Linked DNA regions of Nothobranchius furzeri. The protein of the gene in region 1 binds, or shares a complex with, the protein of each later gene. Links are inferred from orthologs where the notes say so. Each region holds a gene or a part of one and is shown on either strand. Other genes may lie near its edges.

The links.
Region 2: trappc11 (region 1) and trappc12 share a complex: the UniProt entries of both Homo sapiens proteins name them as parts of the multisubunit TRAPP (transport protein particle) complex. The link is inferred for Nothobranchius furzeri from reciprocal best matches to the Homo sapiens genes TRAPPC11 and TRAPPC12.

The regions. Positions count from the first base shown.
Region 1 is NC_091741.1:109,667,483-109,670,066, reverse strand, and holds the end of trappc11 (trafficking protein particle complex subunit 11), read right to left. Parts: intron 2,584-2,584; coding exon 2,450-2,583; intron 1,477-2,449; coding exon 1,309-1,476; intron 1,226-1,308; coding exon 1,181-1,225; 3' UTR 501-1,180; downstream 1-500. Other genes in the region: spdl1 (protein Spindly), read right to left, coding at 181-312. UniProt on the Homo sapiens protein: Involved in endoplasmic reticulum to Golgi apparatus trafficking at a very early stage.
Region 2 is NC_091758.1:44,404,831-44,409,027, reverse strand, and holds the start of trappc12 (trafficking protein particle complex subunit 12), read right to left. Parts: upstream 2,801-4,197; 5' UTR 2,739-2,800; intron 2,480-2,738; exon of another isoform or gene 2,326-2,479; intron 1,969-2,325; 5' UTR 1,962-1,968; coding exon 660-1,961; intron 85-659; coding exon 1-84. Other genes in the region: eipr1 (EARP-interacting protein homolog), read left to right, coding at 3,074-3,115, 3,226-3,309. UniProt on the Homo sapiens protein: Component of the TRAPP complex, which is involved in endoplasmic reticulum to Golgi apparatus trafficking at a very early stage.

The DNA of each region.
Region 1 (2,584 bases):
AAACGGCCGGAGTTAAAGATGGCAGATCAAGCGGCTCCGGTTTAACATAAGCTAATTCAGTTTGGTTAACATCAAACACCCGCGGCTTTAAACTAGTAAGTGCCTCTGAGCAAACGGGTACAAAGATGGTTTCGTTGATGTGTAACAAGTACGTGACAAAGATAAATCGAGTTTCTGTACCGTTTTACGCAGATGTCGCCGGTTGGAGCGCCTAGTTTTGAATTCCGTTTCCGTCCGTCCGTGAAATATCGCGATATCCTGATTCAAACGACACGTCTTCCGGTGAAATTTAGCTGCTCCTGATTGATCCATTGGCTGTCAGTCTGAAACAGCTACTCCAGATTGGTCCAAAGGTTATGCACGTCTGAGTATAGCTGCTCCTGATTGGTCCATCAGCTGCCGGTCTGAATACAGCTGGTTGTAAACAGTCTATGTTCTAAACACAAACAGCGCTCTCGACCGTTCCGGCTTAGTTTTAAAGAAAGTTTGACCAAGTGCCATAAAATTTGAATTTATTTTAATGTTTTAGTTTATTTACACACCTAGCAGAGAGAAACATTCACTTTAAAAAAAGGCAAATAAAATAATTAGCAGTATTTTCAGAGTGAAAAACAACCTGTCTAAATGTTTTTGTTCTGTATGTTACATGTGTAATGATTCATGATGATTGGATAGTGAATGATATTCTGTTCAGTATTCACAGCAATTATTTCCATACACGATCCTAACCTATGTCATTGTAAAACACAAAAAATGATCACACATGCAAAAAAAGATTCATTTTTGAACAAGTTTGCTTGAAGATAACCAGAGTAAAAAGCAGCAATCGAACAGCACCGTTGGACATGTTAGTGTGTTTGTTGGTAAAACACTCACATTTTTCAGTAAAAGTAAATGACCCATGTCTCATCCTGCAATGCAACAGTCTGATTTAGAAAAAGACAGTTTGATGACCTGCAGGATGCGTCAGCTTTACTGACTTCATCACACCATCGGCTCTTCACAGCTGAATCAGGTCATTTACAAGCTGCTGGTCATTTTATGTGATCACCTGTAATCATTGTGACTAAAATGTCATGTCAGAACATGATGCATTTTTACAGAAATGTAGACAGTTAGGGTAATTATGAACATACACCACGCTGCGCTCATTGTTTTAGCAGATACATTTTATTTCTCCTCACGCTGCAGCGATGGAAGTGTCGTCCAGCTGTCGACCCTGAGGCTGAACACAAACAAATCCAGCTTTAGTAAAAAAAAATTAGTCTTGTATTCCGTCTATCATGTGCATCCACCCAGAGCCGTTACCTTTACAAAGATGTGCTGAGGCAAGAAGCGTCTGAGAGCGAGGCTGTTAGAGTCAGGGCAGCGCGGCAGGCAGACGTTCAGCTGTGGGAGTGTTTGGTAACCCGCCATCAGGGGGTAATAATTATACAGCATCTGCTGCTGGGTCCCAGGGAGGATACGCAGACGCACCTGAGGATCAGAAAACATCACAGGCCTCATTTAGAAAGCTTGCTTGTGCACAAAACAGGGTCTGAAAACTGCAAGTTATTTTTTATGCTAACTTTGTGATTTATAAAGAAAAACTTGACAGGAAAATGTGTCAACTTTAAAGCTACAATGGCAAATCTGCAAAACAAGCTAGCTTAAAACAGTTTTTTCAATCCTCTTAACAACATTCTCACATAGTATAACAATAAATATTTTGTGGAGATTAAAAAATAATGTCAAAGAGGAAGCAAATGCATCCTTTTTCTGAATGAAAGACAAAGAGATATTCCACCCAACTTTGAAAATTTGAATGTTGATATTTCCGAGTTAGACAAGTGTGAAATAATAACTTTATTCTCCTGACACAGCTGTACTCCTTTAGCTTAGCATAAAACAGACTATGTGAATGGATCCAACTAGCAAAGTGAGTAAAAAAAAGTCCTGATCGCTCAGTCAGAAGTGATCCCATTTCTGCTTGGTGACCTGAATAATCAGACTGAATGTAAGTGAAAATAATTAGTAACATGAAGGAATCACAGACGCCATTTTAGACTTGGGACTACTTTATGACAAAGCAAAGCTGTAAGCCTCTGCTGAAAGGCAGCCCCAAAGACACATGCTTCTGTAAACACAGCTGCACATTTTGTTAGTGAACCGACATAAAATAAACACACACACACACACACACACACACACACACACACACACACACACACACACACACACACACACACACACACACACACACACAGTTTAGAGGCATAAAAGAAAATTTTTTAAGCTAGCCTACTTTACAAATTTGTAGCTTTAAATACTCTTTTCTATCAAAATTAGACTCAATATAGGTACCAGAAAAAGTATCGTCCAGGTACCAGCACTGGAAGCCAGGTATCAGGAAAGTACAAAAAGAAAATCTAAAGGTCCGTAACATTTGTTGGACTGATCCTGACTTCACCTGTTTGAGTCCAGAGAACATGAAGGCATCAGATGGTTCCACAGCGATCTCTACCTCCTGCACCAGGGCTGTTCTGTTCTCAATGTGGTAACGAACTGGAAAGGACTCTCTCACTCGCCCAAATGACGGTAAATC
Region 2 (4,197 bases), on another chromosome or scaffold:
CACTGAGCTGGCGGTGAGAACCTGGCGCTTCATGGCTGCCTGCTCTCCCAGGAAACGAACCATTAGGTCTTTCACAGCATCCCCCTGCATCAAATCACATATTTAACATGGGTTGTAAAAAAGCTGCAGCATACACTGAAGAACGCTGACATTTGTACACCAGGGTTAGCCTGAGAGCAAACTACAGATGTTTACGTCAATAGATCAAGTAAAAACAAGCTTTTGAAGGGAAGATGAAAGTGGAGGAATAAAATTATATAAAATGGAAATCAATAAAAACAATATCTTGCTGTAAGAGGAAAAAGCAAAAACTGCAGACTGCTGAATATTTTTTTAATAAAGCTGTAAAATAGATCTAATTCACTGAGTAAAAACCTTGATTTTTATTCATTTATTCAGACAAGCATTCAAACATATTGTGAGGGGAAAATAAAGATCATTCTCAGCAGCCCCCAAAGACTGTACTGGACAAAAAAGTCAACTGATTCAACTTAAACGATAACAGATTGTTATGGCAGATGTGTGTGGCTGTTTAAGGTGGTACAGAGAGGGTTTATGTGATGACGTGTGAAATTTCAGGAGTTTCTTCAGACAAACATGCCACTCTGGCCTTTTGCAACATGTAAAATTACTGCATGCTGTCTTGGGGATAGTCCTACCTGCAGGTTGTCAAACTTTAATCCAGGCATTGTGAGTCTGTTGGTGTCTACGTATGCTGGGCCGTACTGCTGGGTGGCAACAGAGATTAACATCTTCCTCGTCTCCTCGCATGGCAGCCAGGCATCATGACGCCTGTCCACCTCACTTAAGCTCAGTGCTGTTGCAAATGGGTCATCGGTGCCCGAGAATACAGCCTGGAGCTGGTTAAAGGGCTGTGCTTGAGGAGTTGAACTAGCGAGATTTAGAGATGGGACAGTTTGGGATATAGGAGATTGGGGCTTGGTGGTTGGTTCAGTGACAGTGGGGCCAAACACTGAGACAGGCGTAGGAGCTCCGGAGTCCAAAAGTCCTCCTGGGGTGGAAATTGAGGAGGAAGTAGAAGAGCGCTGGTGCTCGGGTGTGAAGCTTAAGGGTGCAGGGGTGGAAGCGGGAGACACATCTGCGTTAGGGTTTGAGATGGAAATGAAGGAAGATGGGGCAGTAAAGGAATCAAAGAAGTCAGAGGCTGGATTGGCCTGTCCGTTATCAGTAAAGAACTTACTAAGACTTGGGCTGGGCTGGCACACCAGCGGGGCAGTCATCTTACTGGGAGTCACTGCTTCATCACTGCCTCCACCACTCCCCGTGGTAAAACTAGGGGACTTGATCAGAGTAGGCTGAAAGCCATCAGGTGCCAGGGACTTTGGCTGTGTGCCCTGGCTAAATATGGTGCACACTGGCACAGGCTCATCTTTAGGACTAGTCCCTTTGGGTGACTGATGTTCTGGATCCTCACTCTTGATAACAACAGGACTATGTGCTTCACTCTGAGGTGAAACCACTATTTGAATTTGCTCTTCTATGTCAATCTCTTCTTTTATGTCGTCTTTGGTACATTCTTGCTCCTTTTGATCCACTGGCACTTTAATCTCAGTTGTATTCTGTCCAATTTCACTTTCTTCCTTTTTGTTCCCTGAGGATCCATTCTCCTCCAGCCCACCATCCAGGAAGGAGTCAATAGGACCCACATCATCCTCCTCACTGTTATTGGGCGAGTCAGAGATCATGACACTCTCCATCATCTGGTCATTGAGTCTATCCATCAGGCTCTCAGAAAGTGTGGCACTGCTGTCCTCTTGTGGAGTGACGAATTCCCCTGCACCCAGGTCAATGCTGTCCTGTTGGAGCAGGATGTCATCTTTGGGAGGGGTCTGGATGGTGTTAGTTGTATCTGTCTCCGGGACAGAAGCTTCATTGCTGAAGTCTTCCACTGTAATGCCCAAAGTAATAGGCCGCTGGGCATTACCCTCCCCTGTATCCATCTTACTGCTTATGAAAGAAAACAACAAATGTGTTAGGTCAGTGATGAATTGTTTTATTTGGAATCTCCAAAACACTGATTTCTGGGTTGAGGGTCAGCATTGTGTTCTATTTTTCAACAAATGATGTTCAAGTGTACTTTGGTTACTGCTTGATTCAGTCTACTATGTTCGAAATCTGTCTGAAGTTTCTGATAGTGGTTGTGAGGAGTGACTCTGAATAAACTAACTGAGGGGAGGATGTGATTAGAATAAACTCGTATAACATAAAAACACTTATTTTTTCCCTTCTTAGACAGCAACGTTCAACTGTGTGTATCTGTCTGCTGAATAACTTGAGCAGTGGCAGTTTACCTGACTAGAATACGCAAAGTCTGGATATGAAATCGTTAAAATTGCGTTTTGTTTATTGCGCTTCATATTTTCAGGAAGTTGGACGCATCCCCTTCCTGTCACTACTTTCAAACACCTGTAATTACACGCATGCACCGTTAACATTGTATCACAGCTACAGCGATAAGGTGAGTTTGAATATTTTTACTATTTCACGCGACATAGATGAAGCTATGTTGCTCAGGACTGCTATTTGATGCTAGGAGGCTATGATGCTAATGCTACGTAGCTGTGTGGCGTTACAGGGCGTAAAATAGCAGCTGTCACACTACAAAAATAACTACTAATAATTCAAAACGAATGGGACACGTCACACGTATAGTCAAAATAGAACAAACAACACATTTTAAGAAGAAATACAAACATTAAAAATCGCTAATCTCTTACCTTACTGCAGCTGGACGAACAAAAAAGCAATGCGCATGCGCCGCGTAGGGAAACAGTGTACAATTGCCCGGATGTGACTATATGGTATTCTTCACGGCCTTTTACGTAAATTTCAAACCCATCCTTACGTTTCAAATCCGCTGTTACGTATTTCAACCAGAGTGTACGTTCTTTTCTCTTGCATTTTTTTAAATCGCGGAAGTGATGCTACTGTTTCTTGTTTTTAACACTACTACGTTTCACAAAAACAGCAACTTAAAGGGTTTCGGGGTGTTTTATTTATTTTTTTATTTTAATTTTAAAGGATAGAACTGAAGGCTGAAACAAAGTGAAGAATGGAAGACGACGCTCCTGTCATTTATGGTCTGGAGTTCCAGGTAGGCTGTGGAGTCCTCTCTTGTTACTCCATTCATTACTCTCCTCAGCTATGCTCTCTTCTGCGGTTCATTATTTAAATATGTTCCTGTCACGTTTTGTTTTTCTGCAGGCACGTGCACTTACTGCCCAAACAGCTGAGACTGATGCTATCCGCTTTCTCGTGGGGACACAGTCACTTAAATTTGACAACCAGGTAAGAACACTTGTTCACTTCTAAACATATACAGTTTGATCTCAAGCACACGTTCTATACCTTCGTTGAAACTTTATTGGTATGTGTATTCACATGTAGTACACCTTTTTCATTTTAGTTTTGTTCACCAGCACATAATATAAACCAGTCATCATTATTGATGGTTATTGATTACAACCTAATAAAAACTCCACATAGAACACAATGTCTTTGTATAAACTAAGACTGGCCTAATATTCAAATCCATAAAATACAGAGATTGCTTGATGAAATCAATCTAGAACCAGTAAAATTATTATTTGACTTTTAACATAAGTACAGCTTGCATTTAGTGGCATGTATTTGTGTAAACATTTAACTTGAAATTAATTAAAAGTTTTTTTTCATATGCACATTAAGGAATCATGTATTCCTGTACAATGGAAGGATTACTTCTTTTCCCGCCAATAAAACTCAAGAGTATAAAATCAACATATAATGAATGTAAATAATTTGCACAATCAAACAGAGCATATAATAAATAAAATAAGAAATATTGTGCAGAGAAGTACTTGTGGAAAATGAGCATATTTTATCTTTCATTGTGTTTGATTGTAGTATCAATTTCTGCACAAACCCTCTGCACATTTCTCCTTTCCCTAATAAACTATGTGCGTTGCAGTATGATGACACATCTCAATAAAACACTTAGTTTGTTTAATCCAACATATTATGATATGTATTACCAGAGAAAATTAGATATGACCCAAACCTACTAGAGTCAGGTGAACACATGAATGTTTTTCTAGTTTCAGGTGCTTTTCTAGTCAGACACAGTCACCTAAATGCTTTCCCCCAATAAGAACACCATGCATGGAGTTTGGAATCAACTGAAGAATACAGATCACT